3 linked regions of the Cricetulus griseus genome follow. The protein of the gene in region 3 purifies or fractionates together with the protein of the main gene of each other region. This does not show direct contact. Links are inferred from orthologs where the notes say so. Each region holds a gene or a part of one and is shown on either strand. Other genes may lie near its edges. The genes, in order: Wdr43, Wdr75 and Utp4.

Region 1 (3,649 bases), on a different chromosome or scaffold from region 3:
AGAGATAATACCACCATACTTCCAGAGCCCTTAGCATTAAATGAGGCCACGTATATGATTGTTGTAAGACCTGGTCCATAGACAGTACTCATTATATGAATCAGTAAATGTTCTGTCTGAACTCACACAGTGCTGTATCCTCCAATGTAAATAAGTTCATAAGAGTTTCCTGCACTTGGTTTAGTAGTCAGCAGTTTGCCACAAGGACAATGTATGGTGATACTCCTATAAGCAGAGAACGATAAATTCATGCTTCATTTGTTTCTTGGGTAGTGGGTTATAGTAATGGTTCATAAATGTTTGAAGAAGCTAGATTACTTTACCCTGTTTCCAGAATGATCATAAGGACTTTAAGTTTATGGCATGACAGTTTTAGCATTTCTCTGGTTTAGATTTGTGATCAGAAGCTGTCATGCTAGGAGCCACACAATCAAGCCACCTAGGAATTGATCTTTATTGCTTCCCCACCCCTTTCCAAGACATGTCTTTCTTCTTCCTCTGGTTGTGGAACCCTGGCAGTCAGGCATGCCATTCTCATGTTGGCTACTACGGTAAATTCTGCTTGGTGTAAACATGACTGAAGGACATGGCACTGCAGGCACTAGGTGGGAATGGAACTGAGACACTGGTGATTTAGCACAATTCTGCTGTGTTCCTGTCAAGAGGCCTCAAGTATTTAAGTGTCAAAAGAAGGTAAAGGTTGCAGAGTAGATCCTAGTCGCAGAAACAGAAGAACATTGTTTTGATGTATTTGTGACTATGTATATGCTTTTTAAAATTCTTATCTATGAAATACATGTCAGAGTTAGTGTCATTAAAACAGGCCAAGAAATGGATTTAAGCTACTTACTAAAAACTGAACATAAATTTTCAGTGTCTAGAGGTCATTTTTTAAGACTGAGTTTGATCCATTAGTGGATAGAATGGACAGGTAAGGAAATGGTAAGACTAAGTCTCTGTGTATGTACCCAAACTCTGATTCTGTAGTCTCAGTTTGAAAAGCCATTGCTTAATTGCTGACTAGAATCAGTCAGAGCTCTGGCAGTTTGGTCATGCTTTGTAAACCCTTGTCTTCACCTGTCTATAACTTGCTGCTTTTAGAAGTCACACGTGTGACAACCCCAGCCTTGATGCCCTTGATCAGATGCATTATAAGCGTCCATCAGAAAGGCTTCTGGTGTTATCACTTAGCTCAGGTTCAAAATCTCTTTACTCAGGAAATCACATTCTTTTTGTTAGTTTTCACTTCTAGTGGTTCCATGCAGATTTTCCAGTTACAAGTACTTGAATCAGTTTTCAGCCAACCTTTCTCACTCCTTAAGCTTTATGTGTAGTCTGTATTCATGTGATGCTTACCTCTTTAGAGGAAACAGCTATGACTAACAGAAATGGACAGATCAGAATTTACTGGTCTATGACACAGTATGAGTTCTTAAGAGAAGCAAGAGGTTTTTGGAGGAAAAGTGTGTGTGTAAAGTTTAGAGAATATGGTGTAAGTTGGAGCTAGAATCAATAGCACTGACCTCTTAGATTGAGGACTGTTTTGTGTGGAATTGTATTTACAACACTAGATTTTGGGGGTGGTGAATAAACACTTATGTCCCAGTCAGAGGGCCTGAGTTTGAGTCTTAGCGCCACATTGGGTGGCTTACAGATGCCTATAACTAGAGCTCCAAGGGATCTAATACCCCTGCCTCTGGGCATTTATATACATATGTACACACACTAATATTTTTAAGCCATTATATTTTGTTGAGTAGAGTATTGCTTAGCTTTAGACTAATGTCCTTGATGTTGTACAAAAATCCTTCAAAGTGCCAGGCGGTGGTGGTGCACGCCTTTAATCCCAGCACTCGGGAGGCAGAGGCAGGCAGATCTCTGTGAGTTCGAGACCAGCCTGGTCTACAAGAGCTAGTTCCAGGACAGCCTCCAAAGCTACAGAGAAACCCTGTCTCGAAAAACCAAAATAAAGAAAAAAGAAAAAAAAAATCCTCCAAGTGATTTCTTCCACCAGCCTTTCTGTCCACCAGAAATAGATTCAGAAGATGGGACAAATAGGAGTTTGGTAATGTTTTATTTTTTTTTTCTGGCCTTCAACTCAGAGAGATCTACTTACCTCTGCCTCCCTAGTGGTAGGATTCAAGGTGTGTGCCACCACTGCCTGCCCAGCTGCTTTCGGATAGTCCAGGCTGGGTTCAAGCTCTTACATAATGGAGACTAGAGGTGTGCCCACACAGAGGAGAGACTGCTAAGGCTGTAGAGTTTGTAGGGTGTTGCAGACCTGAGAAGTTTGGGGTTTTTGAATATTTGCTTTCCCTTTTCTGTTTGAGCATTCCTACTGAAATGGTCGTTTAGTGCCTTTCCCCCCACTAGTTGGATGCCTGTGTCTTCAAAGTATGCAGAAGCAGTGAAGAAGCATGAAAGCACCACATCAACCCTCAAGTCAGCCACTGGATCCCACTGCTAGTCAAAGCTGTTTGTTAACTTAGATCCAAGTTAATGTATATTGATATAAAAATGTTTATTTCTTCTTGAAAATGAAACAAGCTTGAGGAACAAGCTTTGGGAGAAAAATGGAAGAGTTGACTGTTCCAATGGAAGAATTTGGGCCTGGACTTACGGATTCATAAACCCTTGTGGATCTCTGCTTGGGGAGGGGAGGCTTTCCTGGGACCTGCTAGGAAGACTTGATAGTGTTTGAGAAGTAGAAAGAGTGTTGACACATAGGAAGTGGTAGTTTGCAGTCTGACCTCTTTCTAAAGGGGTAAGTGTCTTTGAGGGCTAATGGGCACTGGTGTTTATATATTAATGATGTTTTGGTGTGTATGTGTGTATTTGAAATACTAAGTAGTTAAAATGTTATTTTTATTTTTTGTTTTCCAGGAAAGTCATCAAAGGAAAAAAAGGAAATCAGAAGTTATAGGAACGAGTGACCAGGTTGATTTGTTGGCTCTTGGCACAGCAGTTGGTAGCATTTTATTGTATAGCACAGTAAAAGGAGAATTACACAGTAAATTAATAGTAAGTATATTTACATATTTTATATAAAAGATGTGACAGATTATTAGAAATACTTCAAGATATTGATGAGCCTTTTCTGTGTAGAAGCAGTTTCCCATCTCAATTGCATTACAATTACAGAATATTTGTTAAGAGCTGTAGTAGATAATGCTCACCTGTATGAGTTAAGAGTATGGAGAACTGTTGACTAAAGGTAAAGTCAGAAGGGATCAGAGGGACTTTCAAGTTAGTATAGGTGATAGCTTAAGGAAGATGCTTTCACCCTTTGAGGGAACAAAGGAGGCACTTGGAATTGCTGCTGAAGCTGAGACCTTAGGAGTTGACTTTGCCAGCACTACTGTGGGCTTGGGGTGCATATTTCAGAGGCTGGTGCTCCTGCTCCTGCTTCTGCTTCTTGATGTCTCTGAAGGGAAGGGTGATGCTGGTTCCTTCAGACTGCCTGTTGCCTTCAGTTTACACCATCAAGGGTGAAGAAGCCAACTGTTGGGGTGATGCAAAGAAGGACAGGAGGAATAGTTTTTCCCTCCAGCCATGTCTCCTCACAAAACACATTGGTAGTGAATCCAGCTGGCAAGGCAGAATTGTGTGTTGTAGAATCCCAGCCCAGTATCTCAAACTATAGAAGTGT
Region 2 (4,232 bases), on a different chromosome or scaffold from region 3:
ATGTTTGTTGTGCTTTTCTTTGACTCTTTTCTGTTTGCTTTGTCCTATTTTGTTTAAATTTTTATTATCTTTTTTTAGATGTCTGTTTATTTTCTTTTTCGGGGTCATTTTTTCATCTTTGTAAAATTAAAAATTTCAATTTATTTTACACACCAACCACAGTTTCTCTTCCCTCTTCTCCCATTCTCTCCCCCACCTCCTTTTTATATCCCCCATTCACTCCTCAGAAAGGGTAAAGCATGGGAGTCAACAAAGTATGGCATATTTAAGTTGAGGCAGGACCAAGCTCCTTCCTGCTGCATCAAGGCTGAGCAAGGCATCCACCATAGGGAAGATTCTAAAAAGCCAGCTCATGTGCCAAGGACAGGTCCTGGTCCCACTGTTAGGGGCCCCACAAACAGACCAAGCTACACAACTGTCACACACATGCAGAGAGTCTAGGTTGGTCCCATGCAGGCTCCCTAGCTGTCAGTCTAGAATCCTTGGGGTACTCACCCATAAGTGGATATTAGATGTAAAGCAAAGGATAGTCAGGCTACAATCCACAGCCCCAGAGAAACTAGGTAACAAGGAAGACCCTAAGAGGGACACAGGGATCTCCCTAGGAAGGGAAATTAGATGAGATCTCCTTGGTAAACTGGATGCAGGGATGGGAGAGGGAATGATGAGTGGGAGGGTAAAGGGGAGGGGATAAGAACAGGAGGGATCCGGATGGTTGAGTTGGGGGGAAGGATGGAGAGAGCAATGAAAGATATATCTTGAGATTGTGATGTCTAAAGCTGTTTTGACCTTTGAGAATATATTTTCCGCTATGAATAAGCATAAATGTGTGGTGAGTTGCAAATGTACCAAGCCTCTGCTCCCGATAGGATTAAGCTATCAGTAGCTCTTCCTTAGGGGTTCTCAGCACAAATGGGATCTATTATTGACACATTAAGAGCTCAATATAGACAAACATGCCCTAATATGCAGGAACCACGAACATAATGCATATATAAAGTGTTAGAGAGGAATCAACATCCTCGGAATTCAGGACTAAAGCCAAAGGAACTGAACAACCTTAGCAATCCCAACAGCCATTGCAGCTTTTGTTTTTGTTTTATTCTTGGTTTTGAAGACTGGTTTTCTCTGTGTAGCCCTGTCCTGGAACTCGTCCTGGAACTCGCTCTGTAGACCAGGCTGCTCTTGAACTCACAGAGATCCGCCTGCCTCTGTCTCCCTAGTGCTGGGATTAAAGGTGTGCTCCAAGCTTAAAAAAAAAAAAAAAAAAAAAAAAAAAGCCTTAATTGGGCAACCGGGGTAAAACTGGCGCGACGTGATTGCGTCATTTCGCCGTCGCTCTATTCCTGGGACAGAAAGGGCGAGACCTTCGGTGGGAGGAGTGGCGCTCACTTCTGCCTCTGCGGCGGCTATAAGAGTCGGACTGAAGAGGCCGAAGAGAAAGCTGTTTGCATTAAATAGTTGTGGCGGTATTGGGCATGGTTTAATTTTGTGCATGGCTGTCTGGCTTCACTCTTAATTTGACAGCGCCCAAACTAAAGATGGCTGCGCAGGCGCGGACCTGACCATAGAGTGTCGGAGCTAGAGAAACCCGGGCGGAGCGCGGCGGAGAAACGCGCCAGTCTAGCCGGCCTTTGAGGGAAGTTAGTGGTGCGGCGGGCGCTCGCCGGTTCCTGCGTCTGCGCGAACATGGTTGAGGAAAGCGTGCGCGTGGTTCGCTGCGGCGGCAGCCGGCTCAACTTCAGGAGAGCCCTGTTCTCTGCGGATTCCAAGTATGTCGGGGCTGACGGGGCGCCGGGCTCCTCGGGCCGGGGAGGGGACTGTCAGGCGCGGCAGAGAGCGAGTCCGGACTCCGCGTGCCCAGACCCGGAGCTCCCGGGGCACCCTGGCCTTGTTGCGGCGTGGGTGAGCCTGGGCTCCCGGACTCCACCCCCGTGCGGGAGGTCGCGGGTGCGGGGACAGGTCGCGTGGCCAAACGAGGCCAGGTCTGCGCGGCTGGAAAATGCTCCAGGCTGTGTGCTGTTCCGCCCAGACGAGTGTTCGTTCTCTTCGTACGGAACGTTTTGGATCGCCATTGTTACTTAGGCTTTTTACTTTCCTGGAACGTCACATAGTAAAAACCGATGTTAGATCTGTAAGAGATAATCAGTCTACAGAGTTTGGGAAGAATGAAATGTCTAGGTGTACACAACTTTTACAACAGCGCCTGGCCTCAATGGCACGCTGCGAGTCAGCTGGGCATCCTTGCTGCTACATAGTATCATGTTAGAAGAGACGCCCGCTAGTAACTACTAAGTATTTACTCAGTATTTTTAAATTACTTAGTAATTATTTATTTGTTTATTTATTTATTCAAAGTACTCTGAATAGAGATACTTAGTAAAAAAAAAACTTTATTAGAAGGGTAAAGATTGAAGATTGTATTTATGGAGGGTGACTCTCCCTGAGTACCATGCCCATGGATGTATGATGGTATGGAGCTGGTTTGTTGAATGGATGAGTGATGAAAGTAACTTTCACACATTCAAGTCAAGGGTTTTTACAAGATAGTCCTTACAAGTAAAGGTAGTTTTGTTGGCATTGTTTTATGAAATACGGGGGGGCGGGGAGGAGGGGACACGGACGGGCTTAGAGTTGTCACAGTTCTGATCCTTCAGACTCATCCTTATATCCAGTTTCACCCTTCATTGAACTGCACCTCGGCTTAGCTATTAGAATGAGGTATGTGGTCCATTTCATTTACCAAGTCTGATAGTTAGATGGTTTTGTTTGTTTGTTTTGTATTTGTCAATTGTTTTATGGCGTTGGTGGCTCATGCCTTTAATCCCAGCACTAGGGAGGCAGAGGCAGGCAGAATTCAAGGCCAGCCTGGTCTACAGAGCTGAACTTTCCAGGACAGCCTCCAAAGCAATACAGAGAAACCCTGTCTTCAAAAAACAAAACACACAAAACACCATGACCAAAGCAATTTAGAAAACGAAATGTTTAATTTGAAGCTCACAGTTGCAGAGGGTTAGAATCTGTGATCATATCATGGTTGATATGATCTTGGCTCTGGAGCAGTACCTGAGGCATCTCCATTCAGAGAGAACTAACTGAGAATGGCTTGGGCTTTTGAAATCTTCAAGCCTGCCCCCAGTGACACACCTCCTCCAACAAGGTCATGCCTTGTAATCCTTCAGGAATAATTTTTCCAACTGGGAACCAACTATTCAAACATCTGAATCTATGGGAGCCATTCCATTCTCAGTGAAACCACCACACTAGGCTAGGCTGGTTTATTGAGGATATCAATGAAAGGCCTCCCTTTTGGCAGGATCCAAAAAGATAGTGGGTTGTTTTGCTTTGTTTGTGCAGATTGGCACTAGGACCTTGCATATACTAGGCAAGCACCATCACTGAGCTCTACCTCTGAGGAGACACACACACACACACACACACACACACACAGCTACCTGTTGGCCAGTAGTTTATAGACATACCATCAATTGTGAGCCACATTCTATCTTTAAAGATGCAAACAGGTAAGCAACTCAGTGTCATCGTTTTGCTAAAGCAGGCTATATCTCAGCAACCTCTCAGTCACATCTCCTCTTAGGATGTTCATGCACAGGCACTTTGGGAACACAGAGAATAGCCTGACTGGTCCTCACTGGTTTGAGCCTTCCACCATGTGTGGGAAGTGTGAGATACAATTGGCACCGAGCAAGTATCTTTTCTGAACTTTCCTTATGAAAAGTTCTATTATGAATGTAACCACCTTGGGTTATGAAGGAGCATCTGCTTTATGGGAGGAAGCCACAACTCCAAAGAGGTATAAACAAAATCAGCATTTCAGCAGTTGGAAAAGAAGCTGATAGAACCATTGAGAGCACCGTTCACTCAGCATTTGTGAGTTGATGTCTCCAATCAGCTGTGGAGCTCCAGTGAACCACTGAAGAGTAGCTGGATATCAGTGTCTGCACCATTAGTCCCATTGTTTGTGCTATGGTTCTGTATTACCTCATAGTCCTTTACGTGTTAACAGGTGAATCCATCTTTGATATCCTCATAGGTTTAACAACACATGCATTTGAATGTACTGTTCTTAAACTATTTGGAAAGGTATTTGCATGTCGTTGTCTTTGTAATAGGCCACAAAAGGATTATGTTGCCTTTGTAATATATGAGACTTAGATTTTTCTCTCTTCCAGGTATATCTTCTGTGTCTCAGGTGACTTTGTTAAGGTGTA
Region 3 (3,649 bases):
CAAGCCCAGCTTCCTAGTCAGTCTTTGGGTCTATCTTTTCCCCTATACTGCTAATGTGCTTTAGAAGAGTTTTCTCACAGCTAACATGTTTCTTATTTAAATCTATTTTGGGTATTTCATTTCTTGTCCTGAACATAGTTTGTATATAGTCACCTAATGGCAGGAACACATTCTGAGAAGTCCATCAGTAGGTGAATTCAACATTGTATGAACTTCATAGAGTATTCTTATGTAAACAGGTAGTAGGGAAAGCTACAACATTGCATACCTAATGTGCCAATTGTATGTGCTTTTCTTTTACACAACTGGCAGCAGATAAATTTAACTCCTTCTAAACTATGTAAGCACTGATCTAGCACCTACCTCATTCTTTAATAGAAATGTCTAACTTCATAAAGATGTTGTTGCTAGGCTAGAAAGGCGGCTTTCTTGGTGGCATTTGCCACCAAGGAGAGAACCAGCCCCGAAAAGTTGTCATCTGACCTCCACACAAACACATGTGTGTCTGTATACACATACAAAACAAATAAATAAATTTGTTTTTTAAAGATGATATGCCAGATAATAGTGTTGCGCGCCTTTAATCCCAGTACATGGGAGGCAGAGACAGGTGGATCTCTATGAGTTCCTGGTCTATAGAGCTGGTTCCAGAACAGCCAGGGCTACACAAAGCAACCCTGTTTCCAAAAACCAAAAAGAAAAAAATAAGAATAATACTAAGGAAATTTATGTTTTATATAATAAAAATACCAAGTGTCTTATGTCAAACTGTAAGACATTTTTGTTTTTGTTTGTATTTTAAAAGTTATAGCCAGGCAAAGAAATCCTGATGCATAGCCTGGTGTTGGTGGCACACGCCTTTAATCCCAGCATTCGGGAGGCAGAGGCAGGTGGATCTCTGTGAGTTCGAGGCCAGCCTGGTCTCCAGAGCGAGTGCCAGGATAGGCTCCAAAGCTACACAGAGAAACCCTGTCTGGAAAAACCAAAAAAAAAAAAAAAAAAAAAAAAGAAACCCCTGGGATTTTGTTTTTTACTTTTTTGTTGTTGTGGTTTTTTAATGGAGTGTGCTGGATGTCTCTACAATTTTTTTCAAATGGCTGCAGAACCTGGAAAAGCTGTTGCTGCGCTATTGATTCATAACATACTGCTATTATTGGTCTTTTTTAAATATATATACATACATACATATACATATATAATTTGAATTTTTGGAAACTTTAGCTGTGCTGTCAACTTTGGAAAAAAGTATCCCAGTTTACCGTGTTGAGTTGGCATTGTACAGAAATTAACAGCCATATTGTTCTAGAAATGTTGAACTTAATTTTTTTCCTTTTGTACAGGGGGTAACGCACTGTATTAAATATGTAAGGTCTTATCTACGTGGGTTTGATTACAAAATCTAATAAACTATTAGATTATATGTATGTTGTTTTTGTTGGGCTTTTTTGTTTTATTTTTCAAGATAGAGTTTCTTTGTGTAGTCCTGACTGTCCTGGAACTCACTTTATAGACCAGACTGGCTTCAAACTCAGAGATTTGCCTCTGCCTCCCAAGTGCTGGGAGTAAAGGCATGAGCCACCGCTGCCCAACTCTTTAATGTGCCTGCATGTGTCTGTTGGATCCCTGTTAGCTGCCATGTGAGTGCTGGTAATTAAACCTGGGTCCTCTGGAAGAACAGCTAGTGCTCTTAACTGCTGATTCATCTCTCCAATCCTGTTTTTGTTTTTTTGATTGTGTGCAGGTATAGGTATGTGCACTGGAGTGTAGAGGTCAGAAGCTTCAGATCCCTTTGGAGCAGGAGTTATAGGAGGTTGTAAGCTGTATTATATTACATGTGTGCTGGGAACTGATGAAAGCAATAGTGCCCCTAACTGCTGAACCATCTTTCCAGCCCTGTTATTTTTTGTTGTTGTTTTTAGATTGGGGATTTTGTTTGTTTGTTTGTTTGTTTTTCCAGACAGGGTTTCTCTGTAGCTTTGGAGCCTGTCCTGGAACTCACTTTGTAGGCCAGGCTAGCCTCAAACTCACAGAGATCTGCCTTCTCTGCCTTTTGAGTGCTGGGATTAAAGGTGTGTGACACCACCACCCTGCCAAACCCTGTGATTCTTAAAATCTTACAGCAGAATAGAAGTTTACCACAGAGTACAATTTAAAGGTGTGTTTTATACCAGCATCACTGTAAATTGTTAGTAATGTTTTGTGCTACATTTTGACAGCTATGGTATTACTAGATAATAGGAACTTTTGGTTCATTAGACTTTTCATGGTCCGTATATTTGGTTTGTCATTGAATGTGTAGCTAATTGAATGCTAATTGTTAACTTTGTCCGCAGGGGGCGATTACTGCCTTTGTGTGAGCTTTCTCCTCTGATGGAACTGCCTTACCTTGGGTACCCCCACCCACCACAAGGTTTCTCTGTGTAGCCTTGGCTACCCTAGAACTTGATTTGTAGACTGGGATGGTCTTGAACTCTCAGAGATCCACCTGGGTGCTGGGATTAAAGGCGTGCAACACCTTGCCAGGCAGGAACCTCCTTTCTAATTCAGGACATGAGTTTGTCTCCCCTGAGCTGCCCAGATAGAAATCCTGAAGGAATATTTTTCCATCTGAACCCTGTTATGTTGACATCTACCCCCTCATTTAATTTCTCAGCAAGAAGACAGTTTTGTGGTGGGTACAGCCGAAGGCACAGTATTCCATTTTCAGCTGGTCTCCGTGACTTCCAACAGCAGTGAGAAGCAGTGGGTACGGACCAAACCATTCCAGCATCACACTCACGATGTACGCACTGTGGCCCACAGCCCAACAGCTCTGATATCAGGAGGTAGGTCCTCCCCCAGCCAGCTGCTCTTTACTCTGCCCAGCTCTGGCTGTTTTCTTTTCATGAAGGATTTTTCTCATTGATTGCCTTTGTTTCAGGCACTGACACTCACCTTGTTATTCGTCCTCTCATGGAGAAAGTAGAGGTGAAGAATTATGATGCTGCCCTCCGAAAAATCACTTTTCCCCATGTGAGTATCCCCTCTTGCCCTCAGCATCTCCCCATCCGTCTATCCAGTCAGCCTGAACACAGCTCATGCTATCTAAAGCTCTCTCCATTCTTTTCTGAGTCAAGCTCCCTCGAGTACATGTGCTCTGCATATATGCATATTGTGATAATGAGGTAGAGCCAGCTTAGGTGTTGGGGAGGTCTCTCAACTTATCGGGAATGGTACCATTTACCTTGAAAGGACACTACAAACCTAACTTCTCCACCTGAATAATAGAGCCCACCCTGAAAAACAAGCGAACAAAACTCCTATTAAGTACAGTCGTTAAGGGGAGCCATCTCCAGCCCCACCTCTCTCAACTTTAAAAACAAGATCTCACTTTGTAGCACTGGCTGGCTTTGAACACCTTGTGTAGACCAGACTAGTCTTGAACTCACCAGCCATCAGGAGCCTCATTATCTTTTGAATTGAGTCATTTCTGTGCTGCCACTATCCTACTTTGGATCAGTGTCTTTTCCCATAAATTCCTTTTCAATGACTTTTTTTAGTGGTTTCCTTTTTTTTGTTTGTTTCTGAGACAGGATTTCTGTGTATAGCTCTGGCTATCCTGAAACTCATTGTGTAGACCAGGCTGGCCCAGGACTCGAGAGATTTGCTT

What was found.
Region 1: the proteins of Utp4 (region 3) and Wdr43 purify together in Homo sapiens (co-immunoprecipitation; 5 studies listed by BioGRID and IntAct, counting the BioPlex papers as one, with this or other methods). This does not show direct contact. The link is inferred for Cricetulus griseus from reciprocal best matches to the Homo sapiens genes UTP4 and WDR43.
Region 2: the proteins of Utp4 (region 3) and Wdr75 purify together in Homo sapiens (co-immunoprecipitation; 3 studies listed by BioGRID and IntAct, counting the BioPlex papers as one, with this or other methods). This does not show direct contact. The link is inferred for Cricetulus griseus from reciprocal best matches to the Homo sapiens genes UTP4 and WDR75.

What each region holds. Positions count from the first base shown.
Region 1 is NC_048600.1:11,921,538-11,925,186, reverse strand, and holds part of Wdr43 (WD repeat-containing protein 43), read left to right. Parts: intron 1-2,883; coding exon 2,884-3,021; intron 3,022-3,649. UniProt on the Homo sapiens protein: Ribosome biogenesis factor that coordinates hyperactive transcription and ribogenesis. Part of the small subunit (SSU) processome, first precursor of the small eukaryotic ribosomal subunit.
Region 2 is NC_048595.1:402,297,417-402,301,648, forward strand, and holds the start of Wdr75 (WD repeat-containing protein 75), read left to right. Parts: upstream 1-1,340; 5' UTR 1,341-1,689; coding exon 1,690-1,772; intron 1,773-4,193; coding exon 4,194-4,232. UniProt on the Homo sapiens protein: Ribosome biogenesis factor. Part of the small subunit (SSU) processome, first precursor of the small eukaryotic ribosomal subunit.
Region 3 is NC_048596.1:183,222,313-183,225,961, forward strand, and holds part of Utp4 (U3 small nucleolar RNA-associated protein 4 homolog), read left to right. Parts: intron 1-2,653; coding exon 2,654-2,825; intron 2,826-2,920; coding exon 2,921-3,012; intron 3,013-3,649. UniProt on the Homo sapiens protein: Ribosome biogenesis factor. Involved in nucleolar processing of pre-18S ribosomal RNA. Part of the small subunit (SSU) processome, first precursor of the small eukaryotic ribosomal subunit.